2 linked regions of the Arabidopsis thaliana genome follow. The protein of the gene in region 2 binds, or shares a complex with, the protein of the main gene of each other region. Each region holds a gene or a part of one and is shown on either strand. Other genes may lie near its edges.

Evidence for each region.
Region 1: NOL (region 2) and PPH share a complex: the UniProt entries of both Arabidopsis thaliana proteins name them as parts of the SGR1-CCE-LHCII complex.

Annotation. Positions count from the first base shown.
Region 1 is NC_003076.8:4,445,072-4,461,039, forward strand, and holds PPH (pheophytinase), read right to left. Parts: upstream 9,638-15,968; 5' UTR 9,441-9,637; intron 9,290-9,440; 5' UTR 9,237-9,289; coding exon 9,177-9,236; intron 9,080-9,176; coding exon 8,444-9,079; intron 8,101-8,443; coding exon 7,874-8,100; intron 7,774-7,873; coding exon 7,582-7,773; intron 7,483-7,581; coding exon 7,326-7,482; coding exon of another isoform or gene 7,320-7,325; exon of another isoform or gene 7,244-7,319; coding exon 6,992-7,243; 3' UTR 6,664-6,991; downstream 1-6,663. Other genes in the region: AT5G13770 (Pentatricopeptide repeat (PPR-like) superfamily protein), read left to right, coding at 390-2,219; AT5G13780 (Acyl-CoA N-acyltransferases (NAT) superfamily protein), read right to left, coding at 2,539-2,817, 3,233-3,532; AGL15 (AGAMOUS-like 15), read right to left, coding at 4,057-4,222, 4,381-4,532, 4,607-4,648, 4,861-4,902, 4,974-5,073, 5,178-5,248, 5,317-5,377, 5,550-5,731; AT5G13810 (Glutaredoxin family protein), read left to right, coding at 10,698-11,522. UniProt on the Arabidopsis thaliana protein: Alpha/beta hydrolase dephytylating specifically the Mg-free chlorophyll pigment (pheophytin), yielding pheophorbide. No activity on chlorophyll. Belongs to the chlorophyll catabolic enzymes (CCEs).
Region 2 is NC_003076.8:1,423,047-1,438,895, reverse strand, and holds NOL (NYC1-like protein), read right to left. Parts: upstream 4,123-15,849; 5' UTR 4,071-4,122; coding exon 3,803-4,070; intron 3,684-3,802; coding exon 3,615-3,683; intron 3,484-3,614; coding exon 3,425-3,483; intron 3,329-3,424; coding exon 3,242-3,328; intron 3,104-3,241; coding exon 3,036-3,103; intron 2,949-3,035; coding exon 2,900-2,948; intron 2,813-2,899; coding exon 2,727-2,812; intron 2,621-2,726; coding exon 2,563-2,620; intron 2,478-2,562; coding exon 2,427-2,477; intron 2,239-2,426; coding exon 2,188-2,238; intron 2,113-2,187; coding exon 2,071-2,112; intron 1,974-2,070; coding exon 1,863-1,973; intron 1,750-1,862; coding exon 1,702-1,749; 3' UTR 1,401-1,701; downstream 1-1,400. Other genes in the region: AT5G04910 (DNA repair REX1-B protein), read right to left, coding at 126-395, 479-583, 671-764, 1,002-1,201; ABO6 (DEA(D/H)-box RNA helicase family protein), read right to left, coding at 4,380-4,859, 4,940-5,050, 5,145-5,297, 5,396-5,455, 5,547-5,855, 6,091-6,239, 6,345-6,414, 6,565-6,768 and 11 more; RTM2 (HSP20-like chaperones superfamily protein), read right to left, coding at 10,506-11,488, 11,562-11,679; AT5G04885 (Glycosyl hydrolase family protein), read right to left, coding at 12,268-12,283, 12,377-12,463, 12,558-13,050, 13,178-13,379, 13,460-13,642, 13,730-13,834, 14,028-14,271, 14,352-14,497 and 4 more. UniProt on the Arabidopsis thaliana protein: Required for chlorophyll b degradation. Chlorophyll b, chlorophyllide b, pheophorbide b and pheophytin b can be used as substrates. Belongs to the chlorophyll catabolic enzymes (CCEs).

The sequences.
Region 1 (15,968 bases), 3.0 Mb from region 2:
GGCCCATCTTGAAAGAATTTGAAACTTTTACAAGAATCCTATCAGTTTTATAACATCTTACTACAAACAATCATAGGCCCATCAGTTTTTCAGTTATCAAAGCAGAGAGGCCCATTTTACAATTATACTAAACGTCATATGATCTCCATTCTTCAGAGAAACAAGTCCAATCTTATCATTTACATGAAATCTAAAACCCGCCACGTGATTCGTCGATTACACAGAACCCATATACCTGAAGAAAAAAGAAAAAAAGAAAAAAAAAAGCGAAATTGTTGTTTGAACGTGTGGTCGAATTTTATCGTGGCGCTGAATTAGCATCCACAAGTGAAGAAAACAGAGAGAGAAAGACAGAGAGATCTCTCTCTCCTTCACACACACAGATACACATGGCCATCGCGAGCGGGTCATGGGTAGCCACTGTGAACCACCATGCTAATCCCCACAGCTTCACTTCTCCGACCAAACCCATTTTCTTTCTTTCTCAAAAGCCTCACAATTTCCATGTCTGCTCGTCTCGATGCTCTATGGTTCTTGAGGAAGATGAAAAGAAGTCACCGAGTCCTAAAGAAGACAAGTGGCCATTTTTTGAACCTGGTCCGAATGACCTTAACCGGGTCTTATCCAGGTTTCTCCGAGACCCGGAAACTCGGAAACTTTCTTCTGAATTCTACGAGAAAGCTAAGGAGAACTCTGAGTTGAGAACGACCAAGCATCTGATAAGTTACTTGGTGAGTTCCAAGAGTTGGGACTTGCTTGTTTCTGTTTGTGAGGATCTCAGGGAACATAAAGCATTGCCTGATGGGCAAACGTGTTCGAATCTGATCAGGAGTTGCATCAGAGATAGGAAATTCCGAATCACACATTGCTTGCTTAGCGTGTTTAGATCAGACAAATCATTGGCGGTATCTGCATCTGATGCAGCGATGAAAGGCTTTAACAAACTCCAGATGTATAGTAGCACCATTCAAGTATTTGATAGGTTGAAACAATCTGTGGGAGTTGAGCCAAGCCCGGGTTGTTATTGCAGGATAATGGAGGCTCATGAGAAGATTGGTGAAAATCACAAGGTGGTTGAGTTGTTCCAAGAGTTTAAGAGTCAGAGGTTGAGTTTCTTGGCCAAGGAATCAGGCTCTATCTACACGATTGTATGCTCGTCCCTTGCAAAATCAGGACGTGCATTCGAAGCTCTAGAGGTTTTGGAGGAGATGAAAGATAAAGGAATTCCGGAGAGTAGTGAATTGTACTCTATGCTGATCCGTGCATTTGCGGAAGCGCGGGAGGTTGTAATAACCGAGAAGCTATTCAAAGAAGCAGGAGGGAAGAAACTGTTAAAGGATCCTGAAATGTGTTTGAAGGTTGTACTCATGTATGTCCGAGAAGGAAATATGGAGACAACTCTAGAGGTTGTGGCGGCGATGAGAAAGGCTGAGTTAAAGGTCACTGATTGCATACTCTGTGCGATTGTGAATGGATTCAGTAAGCAAAGAGGCTTTGCTGAAGCAGTTAAGGTTTATGAATGGGCTATGAAGGAAGAATGTGAGGCTGGGCAAGTGACTTATGCAATAGCCATCAATGCATACTGTCGGCTTGAGAAGTACAATAAGGCTGAGATGTTGTTTGATGAGATGGTGAAGAAGGGGTTTGATAAGTGTGTTGTTGCATACTCAAACATAATGGATATGTATGGGAAAACACGGAGACTAAGCGATGCAGTGAGACTCATGGCTAAGATGAAACAAAGAGGGTGTAAACCCAACATTTGGATTTACAATTCCTTGATTGATATGCATGGAAGGGCTATGGACTTAAGGAGGGCTGAAAAGATATGGAAAGAGATGAAGAGGGCGAAGGTGTTGCCGGACAAGGTGAGTTACACTAGTATGATCAGTGCATATAACAGATCAAAAGAGTTGGAGAGATGTGTGGAGCTTTACCAGGAGTTTAGGATGAACAGAGGAAAGATTGATAGGGCCATGGCAGGAATCATGGTCGGTGTATTCTCCAAAACCAGTAGGATTGATGAGCTAATGAGGCTGTTGCAGGACATGAAAGTTGAAGGAACCAGGCTTGATGCTAGGCTTTATTCCTCAGCTTTGAATGCTCTGCGTGATGCTGGTCTCAATTCCCAGATCAGATGGCTACAGGAAAGCTTTGACGCTGCACAAACTAGTACTTCAAAATATTCGAATACAAAGAACACAGGAACTTTAAGTTGAAAGGGAAAACTGTACAAGCCAAGATTATTTTTCTTGTAATTAAATGTACTATATTGCCAATAGAGATCTGCTATCTTGCAAATAGAAGATTTCCAGCTTAAGTTGTAAAGCCTTAATGAAAGCTTGGAATTTCCAAAATGATACATCAAAAAAAGGAACGGCTAAATTTTCAATACAACCAAAGAAAGACAAAGGAGTAACACAGAGTGGTCACCAAATGTATTTGTCACTCGGAATCATATGAATGGAAATAGTGAGAAGTACTAGAGCGAGCCAGTGAACCCACCTCAATATACTCATAATTATCTGCTTTCGAATCTCATTTGGAAACTGCTTTACCATCTACGGCTTGAGCTGTTTCTACAACTTTTGCATCACCAGAACAACATCCTCCTCCATGGTGATGATGATGACCGTGGGCGTGGTGATGGTTCTGCTTCCCCTTGAGATTCTTCCGCATGTCATAAGCATCCTCCCCATCGGCGTAGTACTTTGCTTCTACATCATTAATCTTGTAGCCTAATGTCTCAGTGTATAGATTGAATGCTGCTCGGTTACTTCTCCTCACATGCAACGAAACATACTCAGCCTCGTAAACCTGCCACAAAACCCCGACCGAGAATGAATTTAAAAAGTCCAAGTTCGAGAGTGAAAACAACTATCAACCTTTGAGGTCTGCTATTATTAGTTTCACAGGCAATCAGAAACTACTCGTCTCCGTCAGTCAAAAGCATAACACGACCGGAGACAAAACTTAATCTCTTTATACAATCTACAGAGCTTAAGTTACTTCAAATTCCAATGACAATTGCAACAATCACTTTGACACACAAAGTTTCTAACTTTCAATAAAATCCTTTAACTTACACCATTATATCAATCTTCAACATAAACTCAAACCACACAAATTCTTCTATATCATCCAATTATTCAACACGAAACTCTATATCAATTCAATGAATCTGCTTAATTGAATGCAAAGATATACGAAATTTGAAGATTAGAGGAGTAACCTGTTCCATGGCAGCTTGAGCGGCGGTCATGAGCTTAGTGGCGAGACCGAGCTTGCGATGGGTACGAAGAACGGCGAGAGAAGTGATGTGGCCGTGGCACTCGTTGCTCTCTTCCTCCATCTTAGCCAAGACATAGCCAACGATGCGACCATTGTAGTCCTCGGCGACGTAGAGAAGCTGAGGCCATGAGAGGATATGGTAGAGGTAGTACTTCATCTGGTAGTTCTCAGGAAGACACATGAGATTGCAGGCTTGCATCGCCAGCAGATCATCCACCGTCGCTCGCCTGATGCAAACCATGGCTGCTCAATTGCTCTCGCGCGGATAAAGAGGGGTTAGGGTTTTCGGTCTAATGCCTTTGGGCTTTATTAATCTGGGGACGAATTGTAATTATAGAGAAATATGAGGTCTTTATTGAAACTTTTGCTTATATTTTAGGGGCATTTAATGAAATTCATTATAAACTTTTTCAGTTTAGGATTTGAGGTCCAATTGGGCCTTGATTGTAATGGAGTAGGAAGATTCCGATAACCTTCACTTTCTATAAGCTTATTTCTCCGCAAATTTTCTTACTATACGAGATGTCAAATAACTCTGTGCCTTGTAAAGATTATGGATTTCAAACTCTCAGCTAGGCATATCTTTTTTATAGGAGAGACAGTCGAGAAATAATCAAAAGAAGAAGGACAAAGAGAGTTGGTGCAGAGATTAGATAACTGAATCTTCTCTTCTTTTTGCAAGTATCCCTCTAAAATTACTTTTAAAACAATCGGATACTTGCTAAAGAGGAAACATTAGTAGCCTTCTCCCATACTTTTCTAGGACTAAACAGAGAACCTTTGTCTTTTGGCTTCAGGTGGAGAATTTGCTAAACTAGACTGATCCCCTCTTTCTGCAGTTTCGCTGCTCGTGTTTGTTGTCACTGAATCGCTTGACGGGCTCTCTCTTTCTCCTTCATTCGTCCTTCTATCATGTGCCTCTCCCGGCAACCTTGGAGAAAACACAAGTAGTAAGAATTTTATAACTCCAGTTAGTGAGTGTTAAGGCATATGCATAACTAACAGAGGAGGAAAAAGACTTATATTTATCTTAAATCAGCTTTCCAATAATGCAACCAATGACAGCAAATAGACTTAAAAGAGCAATACCCTAATTGCAAAGTTGTGTCTGAATCGGTGTTCTGGAGGCTGCATTTACTGTCGTGGTTTATGAGAGCGTTCTTTGGATCTATAGCAAAGCATTTGATGTAGGATGGAACATAGTGGGTGAACGACGGGAGAAAGCTCCTCAGTTCTTGAACCTGTTTCAACAAGTAATTACAAGTCAGAGGAAGAAGCGTTCATTAGGAGATGATTCAACAAAAATAATAAGAACCTGTCTACGCAAGGTCTCGTTTTCCAACTCTGCTCGTTGTTCCTGCAAAGTATATATATGGCTAATCAAGAAACGAATTATACTTTTGCACTCTGTACCTAGTTATATAGGAGTCTTAAGACAAATAAACTGCACACTAGCTAGTTAGAGCATGAGCTTGTCAAAGGATAGCCACTGGTTTTAACAAGGTTCAGAATCATGTGATTACACATAAGCTTACATTTGGAAGCTAGAGAGGAAAAGCTAGTGTTTACCTTGAGGCGTGATTCTTCAAGTTGGTTAGTCAGCAATCGTTCCTGAAATCAGATAACCATAATCAGGACAATGCAAAGAGAAATGATGATGGAAGAGTGATATTACTAGTTACCTTTCGCTCTCTGACAGTAATCAATGCATGATATAGTTGCTGCTCAAGGCTTTGCAGCTCTTTAAAGGTCAGAGGATTCAAGCCCTTGCCCTGCAGTTGTCTACAACAGAACAGAACACACAAAGCCAAACACTAAAAACAAACACAAAGTAGAGAAGAATAAAGTAATGAACAAGCATAGTGAGATTTATTTAGTTTCCATACAAATGTTTCTCTTGAAGCTTTGAAAGTTGATCCTTTAAAATATCCACCTCTGCACAATCCTCCTGGAGGTTCTAAACAGCAATCAGATTTTCAAAAAAACAATTTCAAGATATATGAGACAAGAATGAATGATTCTCACCTCTGCTTTAGAAGCTGAAGAACTCTGGTGATTACCGTATCTGGAAAGTGTTTGCTTCATTCTAAAATCAAATGAGAATTCAAAATTAGGACTCTCTTCAGCTCAATCAGAAAACTTTTAATCTTAACAAACATGCAAAAACAAAAATCAATTACAGTTCCCGAAATCGATTCTAATCACAACAAGACAAGACATGCAAAAACAAAATTGAATCAAAAAGAAATAAGTGTTACCCAGTACTGGAGTACTCGAAGAGCTTGCCAGACTTAGAGAAGACGATGACAGCAACTTCAGCATCACAAAGAACAGAGAGCTCACGAGCTTTCTTAAGTAACCCAGAACGCCTCTTGGAAAAAGTGACTTGTCTGCTATTCGCATTCTCGATCCTCTTTATCTCGATTTTTCCACGACCCATTTTCCCCCAAAATTGAACAGAGAGAAGAAGGTAGAAGGAAGAAGAAGAAGAGGAAAGGTTCAATGTATTCCAAAATGGGTTTAGAAGTGCTTTTTGGGAATCTATTAATGGGAACACAAAAGATTGCTAAATTTGGATGGAATATTTTTGTTTTTATAGAAAAAAGAAAGAAAGGTAAAAACTCGGTAATGAATGTTGTGTGTTGCATGGCCACTGTTTTGCGTGCTCTCTTTTTTCAATTTTAGGGTTTTTTGCATGATACCTTTTTGCCACATTTGGAGGATTTTGTCAGTTCTTCTGGGTCCTACTTTCCCTTTTCTTCCTAAAGTTGTTTTTTTCTTTCCTCTTTTTTCCTTCCCTTTAAAATTAGATTTATTAGTACTAGTGTATTTTCTCTTTAATGTTGTTGTAAGACATAAATCAGACCAACAATGTTGACCGACATAAAAATAAAAAAAAGTTCAGAGCAACAATTAGAAACAATTTCAAAGTACCCCCAAGAATAAAATTGCAACAACTAGCATTGTTTGATGGTTACCATTATGTTATCAACTAGTGAGAGATAAAAAAACATACTGAGAAGTAATTTCTTACAACTAGTGTAGAACGACACTTTAGTAGCAGCTTTGTAACACCGGTTTTTTTTTTTTGACACTCAAATCAATAAATAGATAACGAGATTTTATCAGAGACTAAGAAACAAATTAAGAAAAGAAGCAGACCAAATCTCATGTTGGATATATAGCCTGTGTAAGTAAGTTTCTCAAAAGTGGTTTGGATAGCCTTCTAATTCAGTCCCTTATTTGTTGACCGTGGAACTGACAAAAATGAGATTCAAGCTAAGGGAAGAATATGGTCAAGGATACGACTTTGCCTCGAGAAAAGTAACCAATGATACGTCTTTTCAAACACCATACATGTTCAATAAAACTGTTCACCTTTGGAAATTATTAACAATTCAAATACACTCACTTTCTTCTTTTGGAATCAGAGTAATTTCAAGCTCTCTTCCAATTTTTAAGACAACTCATATGGCCTGCAATGTCGCCTTCCTATATTAATCTGAACCTGTGGATTATATACAACAATGCAAGAAAGGAGTTCCTTCGATTTAGGTGACTAACTATCAAGTAGATATTTTTCTAACTTTTCCTTTTGAACATTTTAGAAACTTGATTCTACAGACAACATTATATAGCTAGCATCGGATGCAACATAGATTACAATTAATTTACACTAGACGACTGTTCCATGCTTCTTCTATGCAGACTTCCCTCCAAACACCCTTATAAAACTGGATCTGAAAGATTCTCTAACTCCTCTCCAGTACGTATAGTTTGACCCATATAACCACAGATTCACTGCTTTTTTCCAACCATCTCTCGGGAACTCAATTTCTCTACCAATCCTGGACTCCTCCCAATCTTCTTCAGTGTCCTCCAAAAGCGGGAGCGCTTCAAAACCACCAGACTCCAGGTGCTTGATCCACCCGCGCATCAGATAGTTCACCACCTGCTCGTTTTCATATCCCAAATGGTGGGTTCATTATACCTAATTGCAGAGTTTGAAGAATTTATTGACTAGTTCATTATACCTCAGGGACTTCATCGTGTGGGCAGTGACCCGCTGGGCTGATCTCGTAGTATGGAGCGTTGGGGATTTCCTTCTTTATCTTCTTTCCCCATAACGGTCTCACCCATGGATCTTCTCTTCCATACATGAGACATATCTGAACATTGTTTTCCTTACACCTAGCATAAACCATCAAATAGCAGCATTCCTCATAAGCAATAACACCAATCACGCAGAGTAAAAAACATATAAAAACAAGAAACCACACTGTCTTATACCTAGATAAAGCTTCGGAGAAAGATAGCTCTCCACCAGGAGCAAGCATGATTGAAGCAAACGATGCTGCAGCAGCCGGATGCTGTGTGACCTCCACAATACGTGAGAATACTTTATCCACATTGATAGAATGGTCTGTGTAGACCTGTTTAAGTATCTCAGCTATGCTTTCAGGATCACTTATCTTTTGCCACCTGCAGTTTCATTGGGAAGTAAAGATATTAGACTGATAGAGATAGAAATAGAAAATGATACTTTTCAGGTGAGGAGATGTGTTAATAAAGTCTCCCTTACACCAATTCTGTGATTTTTTTCACTCTTTCCGGCAGAGGGAATGCTCCGGGCCATGGAAAGAGACGTGCTAGCTTTGGGGATCTTACTGGATTAGGGAAGAAACCCCAGAAAGGTGTTGCATTAAGCAAGGTAACACCCTTAACCAGGTGAGGATGGGTTGCTGCAAAGTAGAGAGCTACATACCCTCCAAGTGAGTTCCCTGCAATGTACACAGGCTCACCGATAACCTGTACAACACAAATACCACATACTCTTACCGACTCAGCAGCTTATTTCAGATGAAAAAGATCGTGATCTCAAACTAGAACACAAACGGAATCAAAGAACAGAGATGAATTCTAATATCTAGTGCATCCTAAACTTTCCCATTCCCAAAGCAACACCAGAAGACTCCATACCCACACTTTCAGGTTCTGAGCTGAAAACTATTGAAATCCATGAGTATACGACACATAGCAACAATCTACACTAAAAAAAAAAAGCTAACACACTGCTTTTGAAATTACGACTAAAAGAACAAAATCAACAGCTTAAAGAGTAATAGAACAACTGAACTCAGATATTGCTAACCTCTTCTACAAAATACTGAACTTGATCCCTCCAGAGATCCAGAGAGAATACAAGTTGATCAGCCCACGGTTCAGTTTTGTCACCAAATCCCCAAAATGGTTCCTTATCTTCCGAGGAACTGGTTTCTTCAGTCATGGTAGTAGGATCTTCAGTAGGGAGAGATAAACCCTGTCCAAGAAAATCAATAGCCCATACTCGATAATCCCTTCCCAAATCGGTAAGCTGCTTCTCATAGTGAAATGAACCAACGCCAAAGCCAGGAAGAAACAACACCGCAGGAGCATCGAGATTGTCACAACCGGCTTTCTCATAATGTACTCTAAGCTTGGGCTTCCACTCGCAGTGAGAATGACTGATTCGAGCAGCAATTTCACCATTTGATTCATCAGGCAAACCAGGAATCAAAACCTTTGACGTTGATTCTCCTCTTCTGGCTATACGACCCAAGTCATCATTCTCACCAACAACATAACCATCGGAATTTCCACTTCGAATCACAAGTCTGGATTTTTTGACCCCTGAGAATAACAAACTTGACCGATTTGGGACCAATCTTTTCGTTGCTAATTTACTACTCCAAGTAACCACAGAGCACTGGGGCACAACGTTCAGTGAGATTATCTCCATAACAAGTTCCTGCAAATGAACAACCAAAAGGCATATCCTTTAATACGAATTTTCCACTCATATATCTCAACTTCATAGCAAAGCTAAGAATAACAAGGAAAATCACATATGAAGCTGGAATCTTTGTATAGTTATCAGAATTTTGCTTCAAAAGCTGAAACCACATACAAAAAGTTGATGAACTTGCGGTAATCTTCTATGAACTCGTCTTATCAAATCCTAATCAAAACAAAGCAAATCAAGGTCAAGCCAATCTTCTATCAAATTGAAACCAAACAACAACAACACCACCCGATTCATCGACAAAGAACTCCAGCTATATAATAAACCCAGGAAGAAAAGAAAGAAAAGAGAGAGTTGCAACTTGTACCTTTTCAAATTCCAGAAGCGAGAAGCTTCATCAAATGGTCTCTCTGAGAGCGTTATTGAGAAATTAAGCGAGGAAAAATCTAAAGGTGAAGAAGAAATAGAAGAATTGGGTTGCTTGCTGGCTTGGTTAACTTCAATCGTTCGGTGCAAACCGACAGCAACGTTTTTATCGAGTTTTTATTTTTTCTTAAAGGATCCAAAATTCATACTGTATTATTAAGTGTAGGGTTATTTTTTTCACAATATGACATTTTGTTTTGGATCTGACATTGCTAATTTGACACCGATGTAACATTGCAAAAACACATGTTTGTTGCAAAAATATGACAGAATAATATTTTTTTTAAAAACAATTGATTTTTGATCTTCTTTTCCATTGTGTAACAATCGGAAAACAAAAAAAACAATCGAAAAACCTGCAGTTTTCATATCAAACAATATAAAACCCGTTTAATTTTTGAATGGTTTAATCACTATTTTAACGGTGTTATTTGAGTTTTCTAGTTGATTTTAAATGTTAGAGAATTGATCTTGTGTGAACTAAAAATCCTAATGGTCGAAGACTAGAAAGCGAAATACACTACTCTTCAATTAGAATACAGACAACTATCTCTAAACCGAGCGTAGAATCAATAGCAATAAACCGACCGTAGAAACTGGTTTCGCTGTAACCATAACCTTTCTTAATAAGACAACCGCGTTTTACCAGTAAACGACTTTTCCTCGCAATTTAATCCCACTTTTGTTATTTTTTCAAATTCGTTTTTCCTCGAAGGAGCATCGAGTAAATATATCATTAAAGAGCCTTTAATAACTTAGACATAATAATTATATCTTTAAAAAAAAAACAGAAAAATTCTTTGCTTTGCAACAAAGGCAGACAGACAAAAGGCTAATTCGGAGCTCTCCTCCACATCTTCTTCCAAAACACAAACAAACCCCCAAATTTCCAGAAAAATCAGATCATTCTTTCATCAATCTCGTCTTCTTTAATCTTAGGTGAGAATTCATCAGCTCAAAAACGCAGCACCCGATCGTTTTACGACTCAAATCAGAGAAGCTGATTCTTTTCCAATCATTCCAATTTCCATTTCTTCCTTGGGAGGTGATCGACGATTATTCAATTTATGTTTTTCAATTTCTCTTTCTGTATTCGTCAATTTGCTTGAATTTGATCCTAGGGTTTTGATTTTGTTGACTATTTTAGGTTTTACACCAAATTAGCCGTCGAAAGGGGTGCTTCTTTGATCTAATTTCGATGGCGGGATTAGAGAAAAACGCTGATTTCTCAGGGAAGACGACGAAATCGGCTACAACGACGTCGTTCTTCAACAGGTCGCTTACAATTCACGGAAGAACAGTGGTGGATTCGGGCCCCAAATCCCACAATCTCAATCCTTCTCTCAATCGTACCACCTCCATTACCAAATTCTACACCCCCGTAGAATCGATGGGAACTTCTCTTAAAGGCAAAGTCAAAAACCTTTGTAGATTATTCGAGACTTCCAAACCCGTTAAACCTGCCTTAGCTGAGATTCCTCAGAAGCAGAAATCCGGTAAATCCCTTTTACCCGAATCGCGGATATCGCCTTTTTCGAGCTTAAACAACTCGGTCATCCGTCTTCCCGGGACAGAGGACAGGATTGTGGTGTATTTTACTAGCTTGAGAGGGATTAGACGGACGTATGAGGATTGCTATGCTGTCAGAATGATATTTAGAGGGTTTCGGGTTTGGATCGATGAGCGCGACGTCTCCATGGATATCGCTTATAGGAAAGAGTTGCAGATTGCAATGGGAGAGAAGTCTGTGTCTTTGCCTCAAGTTTTCATTATGGGCAAGTATGTTGGTGGTGCTGATGTGATCAAGAGTTTGTTTGAGATTGGTGAGCTTGCTAAGATTCTTAAAGAGTTTCCAATGAGACAACCAGGGTTTGTTTGCCATTGCTGTGGGGACATTCGATTTGTTCCGTGTTCCAATTGTAGTGGCAGCAAGAAACTGTTTGATGAGGATGAAGATAGGGTCAAGAGATGTCCTGAATGCAATGAGAATGGATTGATACGTTGTCCTGATTGCTCTTCTTGAGATATATCATCAATGAACCTGAAAAAACCATTAAAAAAAAGAAGAAAAAAGAGGTATTTATTTCTCTTTTGATGTTTCCATTGTTGTGTAGAACAGTGAATGATGCTGCCACAAGTATCCGAAAATCTCTTTTGGATCAGCAGCATTTCACTTTGGGTTTTTTAAGGTTTGCGATCAACGGTAATGGGAATGCCGGTGATCGTGGATTTAGTTTATGTATGTGTTTGCTACTAAGGGCTAAATGTAATTGTGTAATCAAAATGTCTGAAACGGGTAGTAAGCATTTTGACTCTTGTGTGTCAATGTTGTGAAAGACAACTGTGTTCTTATGCTATATATTTGATTGTAAATATTTCGTGTGTTTATGGGCATCTTGTTGATTACGACAGTAATTGGGTGGTTCTACTCGCTTGATCGTCTTTTTATGACAACTTGGTTAGAAGTTTTCTACCGACATAATCCTCCATCGTTCTTGTTCGCTAACTCTCAAGTATGATCAAGGGCTCTCAGAACCAATTTATTGGTTGAGCGTAATTGAATGTTGGTGGTTAAAACATAACATATAAGACAATCATGTATCATTGACAATATTCTAATCTTGATTCCGCAAACATTCATGATTATATCGGTGACAAGTCCATAAGAAAAGGGTCATACTTCATTTTCGCATTTGATAAACTTTTGTTTCCGGCAAAATTACTTATTAGGTGAACTCAACATTTAACCTCTATTTCCGGCAAAATCATTACCTTAAAAGAAACTAATTCATTACTCATTCCAACGGACCAACTAGTCCTTTTGGCTTAGGTTGGAGCCAATCCGATAAGTTTGGAGAAATGACAAAATCAGACGTGGTAAAAGTGAACACTTGCATCACTAGTTACTTGATTTGTTTGAAGAGAGGTGTGACCTATAAGGAAACTATCCAACTCTTTCTAAAATGTCAAAGAGAGTTCTGAGGCTTTCTTAAGAAAATGCATCTATCCTACCTACGTTATTAGGTCCAAGAATAAATATTTGCAATCAGAAGCAAATTTCAATCTTGAAAAGCCCAAGTGTATAAAACGATGAGGCAACCTATCTGAAAACTCAACGTTTAAAAAGCCCAATATTGTTTTTGCCTTATTGTCATCATTATACAGAGAAGTATATGGTTTCTTTAGCTACTTGTTTTCTTATCTTTTGGCACGAGGAAATCCTTTTTACGTTTGAGTTTGCAACTTTCCTTCTTTTATAGTTTTAGTCAGAATTGACGGTTATAGATTGTTTTTCACGCAACGTTTTTTCTTTAATTAAAAGGTTACTTGAACAGTTGAACTACTTCTTACTAGTGGTATCTTCTTCACTCACGCATCCACCCCCCACTTGGACCCACTTAATACATACCTTACTTTATTATTCCGGTTTCCGACCCATTTTCAATCATAAATTCATAATCAAAAAATTTGTCCTATATGGAAAATTTATGTTTCTATCGACCGTGCTTCAAGCAAAAACCAAAGTTTATTTTGTATGATCGTGAATCTGAGAACGGGACGGCTCGATCGACTCTACCGTGTTTTTAGTCGAAAGGGTATAGTATTGAATTATTGATAGCTTTGGATAACCATGTTGTTTTTGCAATGTGACACATTTTGCCTATGTCGTGCTCGTGCTCGTGCATGAGCATGATCGAACGACTATGTGGGTGCTATCAATTCTTAGTCAATTCTGCATAAAACATTATGATTTCATGATTTCATACATTTAGGATGGTGACAATGTACTCAACAACTACTTATGCTGGTTTTGGCCCCAAAAAAACATCGTTTTCTAGTGTTTTGGAAACTCGTTAATTCGACGACCTCGCCCAATACGGATATGTTTGACGCGGCATTCATGTCTTGTCTTAATTGGTATGCTAAATATTATTCCAACCGTTAATATAAATATTTAGAGTTATGATTTGACTAAAAACATTAATTAAAATATGTATATTTCTTTTTTTTTTTTTTTCTTTTTTTTTTTTTTTTTTTTTTTAAAATATGTATATTTCGTAATAGTATTTCAAGTGTTAGTGTGCACTAATTTAAATGATTGATTTTTCTTGTAAGAATATTTCAAACTTTGAAATTAACTCTAGAAATCTTATGTAATGAAAACAAAACGAAAGTATATAGAATCACGATGAGATTAACTGGCTAAAAAGTAATCATCTTTCATACAAATTTGCTATACATTTTTTTAATAAGGACTTCTCTTTTAATGTGTAGGAAAGATGAAATCAAAACACACCTATAGATCTATTTTCCATAACACACAAGATCTGAACACGAAAAACAATTGTTATACCAGATATATACAATAGTGTTTTTTTTTTTGGTTTGAATGATATATACATTTACATATATATAAACACATATATTAACGTATAAAATATTACAGGAAATTTGATTGGAAATGAAGTCCAAGTTGAGTAAGTTTTATTTCAACCACCTCAAGGAATATATACGGCCTTGAAGCATACGTAACCATCTCAAAGGCAGTTTCAAATCAAACGTAGATGTTAGGGTATAATGTAAGATATTGAGATTCTTGTTGGCTAACGGAATATTATATCAATATCGAAATGTTGCCAGGATATGAGAACCATGTGATGATGATATATACGTGATTGCTTTTCTTCAACTTGGTGACAGAGAAAAAAAAAAGTTTAAAGGAGAAATAAAAGAACAAAAGCTGTTCAACCCAACCGAATTAGCTTGCAAACGAGTAAAGAGCAGATCTATGCCTCATCCGCTGAAGCATAATGCATGAAATGCTAGAATCCAACTCTCTTCGGTTTTTGTGCTATTATTTAGGATATTTCTGCCTGCTACACATTCGTTGTCGATATTTGAAAAACATTGGGATCAAAAGACATCTTATATGAATAAAAATATATTTGTTAATTGTTATACATAATTTGATGTTATTTTGACATACTATGACAATACATATGTTATCGTCACCGCAATATTAATTAACTGTTTTCGTCAACAGTGTATAAATGATTCCCATAACATTATTAAACGTTGAATGGTAGGAAGAACAACTTGGTATGTTATATATATAACAGAGATCTCATATTATAAAAGTATGAAAATCATGTGTGCACATAGACTATATCACATCTACATGAAACACAAACACAAACACATGGATTTCTTCTAAACACAACGACATGGATATAAATCCAGTGTTATCGGCGTATTAAAAAAATAAGACAATGTATGAGTGTGACAATCAACCATGTGAAATCTTGTCTTTCTATAAATATACTAGTTTAGAACTTTTTGTTTTATTTTATTTATTTGTTATTTTACTATATCTTAAGATAAGCTTATGCCAACTGACTTTCAAATTAAAATGGAATATTCTCGTTTTGTTAGGTGGTTGGATCTCGTTTTATTTAAATTTTCCTATATCCGTCTTACCGAGTAATTTAACATTTTTTACAACTAAGAATATGCTCTTTTCCGTCCAATTGGGAATATGCTTAACAACACTATCATGGATGATTATCCTAAATGTACAATAAATTTACTACTTAATCTTCATTCATGTTATCATGTTAATATACTATTGAAGGATTCCATTGTAAACTATTTCATGGATGATAATCCTAAAGTGTCTTTGGCTTCCCCAGTCAATATTAAACAAATTCAACGCAAACTTTTTAATAACAGTAAATAAACTTACCCAACATTAATATTTGACCAATAAAAAGTCATAAATAAAGCTTTGAAAATATTAATGGGGAAGAATTCAATAGTTTTCGAAACATCTTAAACCTTACTCTACCTAATAACTAGACTTAAAAGCAAAGAATCGAATTAAACGAACCACCCCACTCTTCTGCTAATAGGCAAAAACAAATTCCAGGTGTAAAAGCACGTCAGCAAGAGAAAACACGTGGACCAATGATGTAAAAACGTGCACGGAACAGTAAAAGAAGGGATACCACGCGGTATCACAGCCTCATAATATTCCCTTCAAAATGGGAATATTATAATTATTATCCAATCCCGAAATTAACTCTCTTTTTTTTGGTTCTGACAATGACAAACAAAATAGGTTTCGTGTAGTAAGAGTATCCTCCACGTGTCATTAAAAACAAAAAAAATGGTTCGAAGAGTGACTGGCTCTACCCGGTAAATCCACTATCCTTGAACTGCCACATCCGGTCGCGTGGTTATTATTTATTTTATTTCCTCTACTTACAAAAAAAAAATGGTGTATTTATTTTCTTCAAATGGGGGTTTAAGCTTTTTTTCAGTTGTTTGGTTTTTTCTTTTTCAAAGGGTTTAATGTCTTCTTCTTCTTCTTCTTCGTTATTTCTATTCTAGAAGAGAGAGAGAGAGAAAGACAAGGACGATCGTTAAATCTTTTTCTCTTAAATCTTAGAATTTCAAAGTCTCTGTAATT
Region 2 (15,849 bases):
ACCTATATAAACTTGAGAGAGATAAATTCCATTCACATCCTTGACAATTTCTTAATATCTTATATCTTAAGCTAATTAGCAAAGCAAGTTTACTGCAAAAGGGTAAAGAAGTGATGGATTGGGAATTAATCAGCTTCGAGGGCTTCAATCTCATACCGAATGTCTTCCAAATACTCATTGATGCTAGTCACAGCATCTTGCACTCCTCTAATGGCCTCCTTCAAAGCGTTATCAAACTCTGCATCTGCTTCTGCTTCCTCTGTTCCTGCAGCTTCAGTAATCTCATGAAGATGCACGCACTCGTGTTGCATAGGCTTCTTGAATTTGCAGTTCTCATGTGTCAGCATTCGTTCTGACGGTCTTCCTGCCTTCTTCAGTACCTGTATTGTAACAGTCTGCGAAAAAAGTGAACTAAAGTAAGATTCTTACTTTTGTTCAACCGTTGAGATATCTAGATTAGAGTAAATGGGTATGAAACCAGATGCAATTTCTGCTTCTCTTGAGTTTGAATGTCGCTGAGAAGTTTAGCAAGATCAGCTCTTCCAACTTCTGGATTTAGAAACAGAGATTCCATTTCGCGCACCTGTCATCAAAGGGCTCAATCTTTAACAACACAAGGTTGAACAACACTGTGAAGGTGTAATCAAATACTCTCAGATAAGATCCATACTTGTTTCGAACATTCACTGAACTCCGTTGTAATCTCGCTGCACAGCTTCTGATAAAGTGCTTCAGCACCAGACTCCACATACTCTGAGAATCCACTGATAATTGAATTCGAAAACATAGTCAGCTCAGATTAATAGAGGAAGATCTCAGTAACAAAAACATGGAAATCTACGAATATAAAAAACATCTCCCTCTCTATCCTTCACACTATTTGCCTCAATTTCAACATTCACCAACAAAGTCTAACTCTCAGGCAATGGATCAATTGGAACTTAACAAAACCGCAACAAATAAACTAACTCTTTGAGAGATTTCCAATGAATCAATCGAACCTTTTGAGATTGGCGTAAGCCTGAGCTCGGCGCTGCTGAATCTCCAACAGACTCCGAAGCAGGACCAGGGTTTGAGAGGCGACGCCGGAGCCCACCGTCGAACTAGTAGACCCGACACCGGAACCGCCGCATTCGTTCTCAATATCGCCGGAGAGGGAATCTCTGAGGGAAACCTTCTTCTGGAAATCTTCGGCACTCATCGTCCGATCTTTCTCTCCGACTCTTTTCGTCTTCTCAAACACGACAGAGAGAGAGAGACGAAGAAGCAAAGAGAAAGTTGCGAACTAACCGGTTTAGTCGATTTTACTAAATTGAACCGTAATTTGATTTTAATCGCTTTGATATCAAGTCCGGTTGAGGCGGTTCTTCGGTTTTACCCGGTTTGATTGGTTTGGAATGACATTTTTGCTGCTTGTTAAATTGTAAACTAGACCACAGGCATTTGGATCCCAGTCTCGACAAATCTGGTCTGATTCTCAAAATAGTGCCTATAAATTATTATGGTTGGAAAAAAAAAACTGACTTTTAAATCATCACTTCAATCATTAACTGAGAAATCTCACATTTTTGCAAATGAGCTTAAATCCAAATTGTACAATAGATTGCATGTTTTGGAGTTGTCATGAACAAAATGTAGAGGTTTTTATTTACCATTGAACAAACTGAGAAAGCAATACAATTCTAATACTTAGTTTGACACCTACTCTTCAGTAACATACCTGTTCTTCCTTGCTCCCAACGCAACTCTCTGAAACAAATTCCCAAAATTTGACAAAGAAAAAAACAAATTGGTTAAGTAATTTGCAGAAATAGTTTACATGCTTTGATTTACTTCTACGCAGAGCTATTAATCGTCTTAACTGAGAATATTTTGGTGTAGGCTTTGATTCCAGTTAGGAAACGGATGTAAGTCGGCTTCATAGATCCGCTAGCCGGTATTGCCCTTATGTTTGGGACAAGGTACTCAGCCACCTGCAAACGAATGTGTGATCATGAATCATGGGGCTAGAGATTAGAGATCGTGTCAAATTGTTGTGCTAAAAAGAATTAAGAGTTAATGGGTTCTTACCACTTCGGCTGGCTCTGCCAAAACATTAATGAAGAACTTGGCCTGCAATAGAGAACGTATTAGAGAGAATCTCTTGAAATGGAATCTAAATATTTCCTCAGTGTTAAGTCATCGAACTTGTTTTGTAGTTGCTCCGGACATGAGCAGATCAGTTGTGACCATTCCAGGCTGCAACAATAATCCAGAGAAAACACATTAGAATTATGATCATGTTTAGATCCTGAATTCATTCAAATTGTTCAAATAACTATAATCCATCCATTCTATTCATCTCTATGCGCATGTCTGTATCAGTGTATTTAGGAAGACACTAAAAACAACCAAAAATGAAATGAAGCAATATATTGTATTCATACCGATAGATTATGCACCACGACATTTTTGACATCTTGCATCTGCAACTCTGCCTATGAAAGACAGGAATTACTAGAGAAGTCATATAAGGAGAAGGGAAAACGAAGAAGAGTTCAACAGATATAACTCTGGCATTACCTGTAATGACTTTGTCAGGTGAACGACACTCCGTTTAGTTGCACCATATGCAGCAAATCTGTCAAACGTTAATCAAAAAAATGCTATTAGACAGTACAGAGAAGAGAGCCTAAAGGAGATTTACTAAAGCATGTTCCCAAGAAACTTTAATGAATCTAGCAAACCTGGGTGTTGGTCTCCCATCTGAACCAGCTCCATCAATATTGAAGATATGACCACCTCGAGATTGGGTCAACATCATATTCATTGCCTAATAATCATGAACACATGTCAGTAAATCCAACTGATAATAACAAAAGACACGCTGAATTCATCTCCTTATAACATCTTTGACTACCTCTCGGCAACATAACATGAGACCTAGAGTGTTGGTTTTCACAACTTCACTGCATAAAGATTTCAAAAAGTAAATGACTGAAACCAATCACATAGAAACTAACGAAGAGAAGGATCAAGCTTAACACAAGACTTACATAAGATCCTCATCTGAGGCCTCTGCCAAAGGTTTAAAGCTATATGCATTAGATCCCGCATTATTTATCTGTATCATCTCAAGATGGTATTATAAGACTATTTCTATGGTTACAAAATTGAAAAGAAAACATAGTAAAATACTCTGAACAACATTAACACAGATGTCACCAACAAATGAACGTTCTTCATAGTTTTGAGAGTGTACCCAAATGTCAATGTATTTAAGATTCTTCTGACTATAAGCTACAAGTTCCCTCACATCCTTCCCTTCCGTAACATCACACTTAGTTCCCTACTAAGAGAAAATGGTTTCATGATATCAATGCACATAAAGCAAAAACCTTGGAAGACCACACGAATGGAAAAGAACAGTAAAAGAAGGCGGTACCCACACATGCTCCCCAAATTCTTCCTTAAGACTCTGAACAGCAGTCTCAACTCGTTCAGCTGCAAGACAGGAACAGCCATAACAGCAAAATTCTACTGAAGATTGGTTCTATTACTTGCTTGCATGTTTCCTTACAGACACACAAACTCTAGAAAAGGAGTTCAAGACAACAATGGGGACAGGTTCTAACCTGATCTAGAGCAAATCACAACATTGTCGCCTGCTTTCAGAAACTCTCTAGCTAATGCATATCCTATACCTGAACAATCAATAAATCAAAAACCACTCTTTAGAGACACAATGAGATAAAAAAATATGTTTTTTCCCTTCTGAAGATTAAAAACTCGAGTCAATTGACAAAGACAGAGTGAATGAAACCTTTGGTTGAGCCAGTGATCAATATGTTATACGGAGGCGTCATAGGTTCTCTTTTCCCTGAGATACGAGCTTCCACCGCCGCAGACGACGGAGTAACCGTGAGGTTTTGGCGCGTAACAACGACAGTTGCGAGACCAAAGCGTTCTGCCAGTAACCGACGCCGGCAAATAGGAGAGAGAAACGGAAGCTTAGTGACATTTGAGACGGAGGAAGACCGAAGCCTAAGCAACGGAGAAGAAGAGACGTTGAAACCACTCCAAGTAGCCATTACAGAAGCTCAAAGAGAGAGAGAGAGAGAGTTGCGTAAGCGAGCAAGCTCAGAGAGAGTTAAATGCCACGTGGCGGCATATAAGATGATAATAACCCCAATTATTGTTCAAAATACATCATAGCCCCTAAAGTTTCTAGATTTTATGTTTATAACCCTACACTATTGTTCTGCCCCAAAAACGACACTATAGTTACATAGTGACTACTGAAGTATAATTTCTCTATCTGCTTTGGTTGGTATTTGAGATCGTCCAAAGCACAGTTACACAAACCAAATCTGTCTGCGAAAAAACCTACAGAGATTCAATTACTTGCCCTTGGATCGCCTGCGCCGTCCTCCAAGGAGTTTAAGCATGTTATCAGTAACATCAGGTGGAGAATCTGCATCCTCATTGTGTTGGCCAGTACTATTATCAGAGGTATGAGTCAACCAAGCTAAGGCCTCAACAGCAGCATCTTTCTCAGCGAGCGTTTTATTCCTCTGAGGCTTCCCAACGAACTGCATTCCTTTAAACTCCACAAGTGCTCTGAATTCGTTTGTCTTGAGATGTTTTGTCTTGTACTTTGGAGGTGAGTGTCCAGCTCTCATCAAAAGTGTCTGAAGGAGACTCTTCGGGTTTGTCCCGTCTTTGGAGTGTTTGTTCTCTCCTATTTGCGGTTGGCTTGGCCTCTTTGTGTCACGGCCAAAGACAAATCTGCCTTCGCATTGGTCTCCAGCCACAAGTTCTTGAACTGCAAGCATGAGGTACTTGCCTTCTTTGTGGATGTCCATGCTTGGATCTTCAAGCTGCAAATCGTAAAGATACTAAAGGTGTTAAAGTGCTGCACTACGAACACTTTTTCCTTTTAAAATTGAAAAAAACTCGCCTTTTTTTGAAGAAGCTTATCGAGTTCTTCCTTCAGCTTTACATAGGACTCAGCCAAATTTGGATCCATGAAGAAATCAATGTACCCGTCAAGCATTTTTAGATGTCCCACCTGGAAACAACACAACATTCAATCCATTCGATTCCGGAGTATTCCATAATCTGACTAGTGTAAGGGTTAAAAAGAGGAAAATGAGAGAAATCACCTGTACTCCCGTGCTCAATGAACCACCAAAAAGGATCAAACTGGAATCAGGGACACCAGTGGAGTCCCGTATGAGTACCGCATTGACCTTTACTTTCTCTCCAAAGACTAGCCAAGGGTATGGAATTGTTGGGAACCGCGAATTAACAGAATTCTGAAACATAGAAACCGTAAAAACCATTTAAATAAAAAAGATGGCCATATCGAGAGACTCAAGTAATGATGTTGGGAAATACGAATGAAGAGGCTCACCGCGTATAGTGATACTTGGCCATCATCCATTGTCTTGAATGACATGGAAGTCTCTCTGTGCTGTGCAAAGAAAAAGGACAACAAGGTTATTTCACCGAAATCTCTGACACGAGAAAGGAGACTTAGCCAGAGACATGGGTCTTAGACTTACCACAACAGATGCTATTCCAGGGAATAGGCCAGAGCAAATGACAGCACGAACCAGAGACTGGTTGTGACTTAGCTTGTTGTTGAGAGCTAAATCATCATGAACTAAGCCAGCTTCTTTCAAAATATAGTTGAACTGCTTCCTCAGAGAATGTATCGCCTGAAGCGTCTGAGCTGACAGGAAATTCCTCCAACAAAACTCATAAGCCGATCCTTCTCTTTCAGCATCTTTCCACCCTTCAAAGGCACGAACGAGTGCCATATGGTCACTGTAGTCTTTGGCTGAGAATCTCAACTTGGCTGATAAAGCTAACTAAAATAAAACAAGGAAATCATCTCTCAGTTTGAGAGATTAAACCACAACATACTTCATAAAAAGTTATATATCCATCTATCTATTGGCTTAAAACCGCCTATAAAAACCCACTCTTCAATAAAATTCAAAAGACCAAAAAGTAAGTTTTAAAAACATTTATTTGCCAATTAATCAACCAATCACCGTACATCATGATAAAAATAAATGTTCGTCCATGAGTCCTTATACTTACGTCTTTTTTGTCTTGAGGTAGAAGGAAAGGATCTCTGACACTTAGCCCTGATACAATTGTCAGGATCGGATCAAAGCAGCGGAAGATGGCACCCATTATCAGCATTTTCCCCAACTTGGGATCAACAGGAAGAATCGATAAGAGTTTTCCTAGTTGGAACAGGCCAAAAATACAACAAGCAGGAAAGTCAGTCATGATACATGTAGTATAAGAAAGAGTTGGACCATTTTTTGTACAGGACTTAGAACACAAACCAAGATCCGTTAGATTTTCCTTCTCATCCAGTGCTCCGATCATTTTCAGGAATCCAATAGCATTTTGAACCTGTCATGATATTTACAGTTATGTTGACTAATTTTGAGACAATAAGAATCATATCTTCCACATACAAAAAAATCTGATAATCAATCAAAGATGTTACTAGTAACATGGAAATTGGCGAAATCTCTATGAACACATTTATCTGTCACTTACAGCCAAAGACTCTGGAGCCTGAAGTGCAGCTGACAAGAATTCTGCAATGCTTTCAACCTGAAGACTTTTAATTTGCAGGCAGAGAGAGTTTAAAGGAGTTCTCAGAAGTTCAGGAAGTTGATACTCTGCAAAAGCATCATAGACGCATTTGGGGTACAGGTGATAGCATTCTCCCGGAAACAGACGCCCAGCTCTTCCCCTTCTCTGAAGGCCAAATAGAGGGGAAATGTTGGACATACCAAATGAGAAAGCTTTATAGCTATCAAAAGATGTACCAGATAGCAAAATGGATGTTCTGAAATTGCAACAATGATAATCATGCAATCAAATCATATAGAGGAGTCAATGTTCTGAAATCAAAAATAAGAACGATGCAAAACACAAGAAAGATCTATTTACAACAATAGGTTTTAGTATAATGTATTCACCTGTCTCGCAGAAGCTTGAGATATCCAAGAAGGTAGCAGACAAGGTGTATTGTTCAAAGCATCATAGGTGGTCTCTTTTGCTTTTCCACAGTCAACCACAAACACTACATCGTTTATTGTAATACTAGCTTCTGCCATGTTTGTAGCAAGAACAATTTTGCGAATATTAGGAGGTGCTCTCTCAAAAATGAGTCTCTGCGTAAACATCAACGAAATATGTTAAATAAGTTACAATTAGTACTTCTCCAGAGTCGTGACTCAAATTGAAAGGAAACAAAGTAACACGTGAGGATATAAATCAACCTGCTCAGCAGTTGCCATTGAACCGTGGCACATTAATAGCAAAACCCTGTTCGGATCTCCCAAGAGAGGATGGGCTTTAATTTGGTCGCTCAGGGATCTGATATCATCCCATCCTGTCAAAAATACTAATACAGCACCTGGACGTTCTTTTCGGCATATGTGACAGAGAACAGCCTCAATGAGATTAAATCCTATGCAGTCAGGCATCCAAGACGAAAGAGAATCACGTGTCCTAGAGTTATAGCTTTCAAAATTTGACTTGCTGAGAGCTTCCTGCAATTTTAAAGAAACAATGGTGAACAATGTTATTGGAATATTTGGTCTGCTCAGCAAACCTAGTTGACCAACAGAAACACAGTTAGTTAAACTTGCAAATTAGAGTTAATTCTAAGGAATTTCCAGTTGATGTAAAAAATTAGCCAAGTACCTCAACAAGAGTAGTGATCTGGTTTTTTCTTTTGCGAGGCATTAACTGTTTTTGCGTTTTCCACGTCTTTTCTTGGCCATAATCATCAACTTGATTAAAAGAGGTCAGCTTATATCCCGTTATTTCCAGTACATCCTCCAAAAAATGTGCTTTCACTGGATGTGTGAAGCCCTGAAAATATATATACATTCAAGGCTTCCCATAGAAACAACTCGAAACACGGAAATCATGCTGAATATCTAGAGTGTCAAGACTATTGAGGAAGAACATTGTCTTACAGGAATGTGAATGGTAGGTGCCCCTCCATAGTAATTAGAAAAGAGTTCAGCATTCAAAGTGGCACTCATGAGAACCAATCTCAGATCTGGACGCCGTGGAAGAAGCTCCTTTAACACTATAATTAAGAAATCTGCAACCAAGAAGTGAGGGGCATATTATTATGAGACTCTATTTGCAGAAACCTAAACATACATTAGATATATAGATATGTACCTTCATTCATGCCCCTTTCATGAATCTCATCAACAAAAACATGTGTAACTCCATTCAAATTGCGATCACTAAGCAGCCGTCTGAGAAGGATACCACTTGTACAAAATAGAAGGTGGGTATTCTTTCCTCTCATTCCTTCTAGACGAACTTTAAACCCAACCTATCGGAAATTCTCTGTTAGGTATGAAGTCATGAATAAACAAGCATCTTTTAACAAAGTATTAGTGTTAATTGGAGTAATCAGACAGCTTTTGAATCGATGCTCAATTGAAGGACAAGGATTTTGGCTAACCGTTTCACCAAGAGGTTCTCCTCTTTCAGCTGACACTCTTTCTGAAACTGCCATGGCAGATATTCTCCTAGGTTGAGTACAAATGATGTTGCAGAATGCTCCCCGACCAGACTCTATCTCTGATTCCAAAATGTATTGTGGAAGCTGAGTTGTCTTACCACATCCAGTCTCCCCAGATACAACTATCACCTGAGAATTTGAGAGTTGAGATCAAAAAATTAATTTCCATGCATTGCTGCATTGCGAAGATATCCCGCTCTAAAATTCACCTGGTTCCGAGCAATAGCTTGAAGAAGTCTTTCTTTGTCCTTGAATGAAGGCAAAGTTTTCCTGAATTCCAGCATCGTCCGTCCCTCAGGGGATTCCTATTATTCAACCAAATAACTACTGCTATAGCAGAAAGTTTTTGATAAAAAGACAAGAGGCGTGGGGTAAAGATGATTGAGTAATACCTGCCAGGTTCTCTGCATATTGCGCATCCGCATACTCCTCCTCTGAAGTACCTTCTCCATAACAGAACCATCGAGAAACGAATCAGAATTTTCATCGGGAAGTTCTTCAGTCTGTTTAGGAGGTTGAGAATCAGCTACGCATTCATTAGCCTTTCCTGAGCTTAGCTGCTGACTATCAAGATGTTCCTGGAGGAGTCCCTCTACCCTTCTTTGCAAACTCAACGGAAGCACCACCTGCACGATGAGATGCATTACAATTTCAGCATAAAACTACAAATAAAAACTGTGCATTATGATTTTGGTAAACCAAGGGAGACACTGTTACCTCCCGTTGTGGTCGCTTATCATCCAAATCTGGTCGGTAGTTAGGAAGAGGAACCTTGCTTGCAACAACCACTTTTCCATAAATTTCACTGTTAAATTGGAACCAAGAATTGGGTTAGCACATAGCGCACACAAACACATAGGGTTATTTGATTCCAATAAAAGTCAGTTTTCTATACCTGTAAAGTCCCATTCTCTTAGCAAGATTTGAGATCTGCTCATAATCTCTTCGATCCCTTTTGTCTCTGGAAACAATTTCTTGTTCACTATCATTGGCCAACAAAATTCCTAACTTCCACTTCCACTCATCAACATTGGCCACAGAAGATGAAGCCTATAAAACCAATTCACGCCTAGGATCAAATCATTTCCCAAGTATAAAGGATCAAACAGAAAATGTTCAAAGACTCTCATTTACATAGTCATTCCACCAAACAATCTAATCGACAAACACCTAAAAATTCCATTTTGAGAAACTTTTTACTCTGGAGATCAACACAAATGTTGATTGATTGATTCCATTTATCTAAACAATTTAGCATCATGAACAAAACACGAACCTTATGTTCCTCGAATTCACACTCGTACTCATCATCCGAGAACTGTTCCGCAGTGTGCCCGATGAAACGACGACGTATCGGGTAGTACAATCCCGTAACACCATCACCATTACGACTCGAAATCAGAAACGCCGGAGAACTAGTAGAGACCGGACCAACGATATAAGACCTGCATAAAGTCGGATTTCCCAATAGAGAGCGACTATGAATCCTGGTCGTCTGCCCCAAGAAGAGGCTTATTCTTTTTGTGAAACGCATTCTAGAAAACGAAATGAGCGAAGAGGCATGGTTCTCAACCTCGCCGCCTTCACCGTTCACTTCTCGTTCTCCGGTAAAGGAAGTTACTTTCTGCTTCTCTCAGTTCCCAATTCAACTGGGTTCTCTCCTATACACAGATTTTTGGTCAGACAAGATCGATTGAACTAAAAGCTTTCAGGTCTCTCTGTCTTCAAATCTAAAAGGGTTTAGGGTTTATGGATATTTTTTCATTTGTTTCATATGTTTATTGAGTTTTTTTTTTTTAAATCCTGTCTCAATAAAACTATGATATATAGGTCTTAAATATGACATCATCAAACTTTATTAGACTGTAGAAATATATCACAAAGTATATAATATACACATTCTTCAATTTGCACAACATTTTTCTTTCTTAGAGATATATCATTCTGGTTTGGTAGAAGATGATGATGAAGAAGGAGACGAAGAGGAAGAAGAAGAAGAAGAAGAGCAGAAGGTATAAGAAACATAAGCTCCGAGAGCAAAGATAACAAGAGCAGCCACTCCTACATTCATCATCAACTTCTTCTCTTCACTTGTTATCTCTTTCCTTCTTATTTTCTCCATTATCCCTTTCCCCATTTTCTTTTCCTTTTCCACCAAGTTTCCTAGTTTTTCTTCCGCTGACTTCACCACCTCGCCTACTCCTCCAAACCCGGACTTGAGACCAGACCCCGACTCAGGTTTGGGAGTAGCCACGTGCCCGGATTTTGTATAGACCACTTCTGGCTTTAGTATCTTCTCTTTTTCTCCAGATTCATCAACAGACTTTCTCTCCTGGATCTTCTTTAGTTTAGCTTCTTCCGCAAGCTTCATATCCTCGAGCTTCCTCTCCTCAAGTCTCCTTTCCTCGAGCTTTCTCTCCTCAAGTTTCTCTTTTGCTTCAATTTCTTCTTGAAGCTTCTTTGCCGCGGCCTCCTCCTTTGCTTTAGCTTCTTCTTGAAGCTTCCTCATTTCAGCCTCTTCCTTTGCTTTAGCTTCTTCTTGCAGCTTCCTAATTAGCGCCTCTTTCTCTTCCAGAAGCTGCTTCTTCATCTGCTTAGCTTCTTCTTCTTCCTTCTCTTTCCTTCTAGATTCTTCTAACAATCTCTTCTCCTCTAGCTTCGCCGCCTTCTCCAGAGCAGCAGCTTCAGTTCTAGAAGTTTCTGGAAGATAAGCCACCTTCGTGATCGTCTCCTTAGGCATGGTGATGGTGAGGACATTGTTCTTAAAGCTCCCATGGATCTTATCCACTAAACAATTCTGTGGAACAGTGAACACCTCGTTGAAACGGCTCCATTTCCGATTAGCCAAGGGACGTTCTCCAGTGACTCTTATCATCTTCGAGCTGTGCACATACGTCACTTTCATTTGCTCCTTTGCAAAACCTTTAAAAACCAAATCATAACATTATAATTAAACCACCATAAGTAGTCCAAAGTTACTATTTTGTATACCAACCTGTTAGGTCAATGTTGAGAATGGTGGCTTCAGGTTGATCTTTCCATTCGGATTTGGGGACAAAGTCCTCGTATTGAACCCCGAAGCCTGTTCCTTTTTGTTGCTGTCTCGCTGCCATTATTAATTACTTATCTTTCCTCTTTCTTATGAACTGGTTAAATTTGAGCTTTGATGATACTATTAGGTGTTTATTGCTCTGCATATAAATAAGATTTGAATTTCTGCAATACTTAGCCATTTTCTCTACTGTTATGCAATGGATATTCCTAGTTTTGCGGCTATGTCTTGTGATCATCAAAATCTCTTCTTTTGTCTCAGGTCATCATTCATATGTTACTTCTCTTACAAAGAAAGCATAATGTTCTCTTGCTTTCTTCACAAGTTTATTATGTCTTGTAAGTTATGTTCCCCAAATGACGTCAGTTTTAATCAGTTGAGAAGATGTATCATTTTTTCTGAGAAGTTATGTGACTTAATTTCAAGAATGGTGATTTCAAGAAGAGAATTTGTCTATTAGAATTTTCAAGAACCTAAATAGAAGAACGTTCTGGTGTGAATATCCAATAATGTTTCAGGTTGCAATAACTCTGAACATAACACGACACAGATTCAGGGTCTCTTTTGCTAGGCTAACAAGAACTCACTTGATCAGATCAGATAATCGAAAGAATCTATCTACTCCAAGCTTTTGTAACTTTTCATCTTCTCAAAGTCGGCTTAAGCTACACACACAAAAAAAGTTACCAGAAGAAATGTCAGATTCTCACCAATTTCTGTAAAGAAATCAAAACGGAAGTTGAAACTGGTGATGATACCTTGGGAAGATAAACAGACACAATGTAGCAGAAACAAGGACTGTGTATAAGCAGGGCTTTGTGTTAGTAGCAGAAGCTGAGGTTGACCTGTTAGCAACCAAAACTTAGGGGTTAAGAATCTTAATCTTGTGTCAGAGAATACTGCAACAGATGAAACAGGAAGCTGTGTGAAGTATTTTACCTAGCAACAATGCTCGCAACAGACTCAGTTTCAAGACCAGACCCGTAAGCAAATAGCGGGTCATAATGTGTATCTCCATAGCTCATAGGCAACTGCTCTGTGTTTCTGAACCATGTAACAGGAAGTTTTCCACTGAAGCCATGGTCCCCAAAGAGAGCATCAGTGATACCTTGGCCTTCTGTTCCTGGTAGCCATGCTGCAACCAATGCATCGATCGAGGCAACGTAAGGTTCCATCACAAGTGGTCTACCTGAAATGACCACAACCACACACTTGACAGCCTGACAAGTGGAGCTAATAATCGCTGGACCGGGGTCAAGCATAGTTAGCTTGTCGCTGTCTCCAGCTGTTTCTGCATATGGAGGTTCACCAACAGCAATGATTGCATAAGCAAAGTTGTTCGATTTGATGAATTCAGCATCCGGGTTCTCGCGGAAGACAACTTCAGTGCTTTGATCAACAGCTGATTTTACAGCGCTAAGAAGTGTAGTCCCTGAATCAGAAGAAAGGGTACAGTCTATTAACAGTCACAAGATATTTGTTACAACTTACAAAGCATAAACAGTCACAGACAAGATGATAGAACTTGTATAATCTGCAATAAGAGTTGCAGAACGTACCTCTCGTGTTCTTATTACCGCTAAATCCTTGCCAAGTTATGGTCCAACCACCACACTGATAACCTAAATTATCAGCGTGAGTGCCAGCGACTAGGATCTTTGAAGTCTTCCTGGGAAGTGGGAGCATAGGATTGGTTTTGTTCCCGTTCTTCAGTAGCACAAGGGATTTTCTAACAGCCTCCCTTGCCAAGTCTCTATGTGCCTAATATAAATTGAGAACATTCCATCAAGACTTTGTAGTACTTGCAACAGATTCTAGCTCAGGGTTATTAGGCAACTGACCTGGCTTCCTAGTTCACTGGAAAAGCTGTAATCAGCCAAAGGGTTCTCAAAAAGACCCATGGTGAACTTGACAAGCAGGATTCTTCTGACAGCATCATCAATCCGAGTGACAGGAATTGAATTATTCTTCACCAAGGTTGTAAGATCATTGACAAACTCGGTAAAGTTGAAGGGGACCATGACCTGCATATTATTTCATTAGCTAACACAAACATGAGTAACAATTTCCTATTTCAGTCCAGGAATGTCTGTGAAGTATGAAACACTAACCATATCAATTCCAGCTTGAATTGCAGCTCGGACGGAAGCTGTGTAGTGCGTATGCGGTGGTGTGGAAATCTTATCGACACCTTGCCAATCCGAGATAACAAAACCCTGCACACATCATAGAGATGATAAGTTGGAATTAACATTCAAAATCAACTCCTTCATCTAAGAACTCACACATGCTATATATATGTTCTATTCAAGAATCTACAAAATACATGGAGAAAGAGAAATATTCATTCAGAAAGACTACTGCCAGAACACAGAGAATGTGCGTTGAAGTTGTGATAAGTAAGCAGACCTTAAACTTAAGGGTACCCTTAAGATACCCTGTGATCAGCTCAGTATTTGCATGCATCTTCTCACCATTCCAGCTCGAATATGAAACCATCACTGTGGAAACACCTTTGTAAACTGCATCAGCATAAGCGGGCATGTGAACGCTAAGAAGACCGTGTAAATCAGTCACAGTGTTGTTCTCGTTTACTCCGCGGGTTGTCCCACCATCTCCCACGTAATGCTTGGCACAGGCTGCAACTTTATCCCTATCAAAATAACACGCATGAAAGACCGAACATACTTTTGTAAGGCTATCATAACCGAACCAAATTAACAAAAGCCTTACCTGCCACCAACGAATGGAACTCCGTGCTTATAGTTGGAAGGAGGCTCTCCTTGTAAACCAAGTATGACATCCGTCATGTCTTCCACGACTTTGTGATCCTCGCTGTAGCTCTCATAACATCTACCCCATCTGGGATCTCTACAAACCTACAAAAAGCGAGTGGGTAACAACTTTAACAAATGTCCAAAGTACCAATGATATGAAGAGTGCCAGGTATATAAAAGTTAGGCAGACGGTGAGAAAATTTACTGCAATGCAAGGAGCAAATGTGTATGGGATTCCAGTGGCTCTGACTTCGACTGCAGTTGCTGCTCCAATCCTCTTAACAAGATCAGGATCCCTGTGAAACTCAAATCTATCATCAGAAGAAATATAGACAGCATTCACAGAAACAGAGATGGGAAACATGCAAGATCGAATAAACGTTTTAGCTAATACTTGCCTAGTGGCTCCAAGACCAACATTGTGAGGGAAAATAGTAGCGTTATAGACATTGTTATGCCCGTGAACGGCATCAATGCCATATATCATAGGAATTCCCAAACGACTAACTAGAGCCCCCTTTTGGTACTCATTTATCATATCAACCCAATTCTGAGCACTTGCCTCAGGAAGTGGAGCGCTCCCACCACCACTCAATACACTGCCTGTACAGAACAAACAGACAACTTCAATTTTCAAGTTTCACAAATACAGATACTCAATACCAAGTCAAGTTACGCAGCTTATCTAGTTCTTTATTAACAAGATGATGAGAAACTGAAGTTCAATGAAAGCAAAAACTGAATGATATCCTCATTTCACCTAACAACACCAGTAGCACCGACCAGTTTTCTAAGGAAACCATACAAGATGCCCAAAATAAGGTTTAAATGAACCAATTAAACTAGCCAAGCAAGTAAGTAATCAGATTTCTGGAAATCTCCAAGAAAGATTGTTCTTTTACATACCGATGAAGTAATCTCTCATAATGTTGACAGTGGCAACACTTCTATCAATCTGCACCATCTGGCCAATCTTCTCTTCCAAAGTCATTCTACCAAACAAATCCGCAACTCGATCTGACACCGTCTGTTTCGGGTCCTTGTACAACAGATACTCTCCATCCCCATAACAACAAACCCACATACACATCCATAGAAGAACCCCAACGATTCTTACTGAATCTCTGCTCATCTTCGTAACAGGGGAAACTCTGGCAAAACAACAAAGACGGAAGAAACTCAAGATAAGAAAGACTTGTCACTTGTCAGCTTAAAAAAGAAACCCCCAAAATTGTGAAACCTTGGTGCTTATCAGCAGCCAACCAAGAAAACAAAAAAGCAACTTCGTTATTCATCAGTGACAAGAAAGAAGAAAAAAAGCAAAAATAAAAGCAAGCTTTTTAAGATTTACTGTTCGAATTTCAACAAAAGATTGAATAAGCACACGAATCCGTAAGAAGTACTTTCTCATTTTCTTATTTTCCAAACGAATCATTATAAAGCTACTAGCCTCA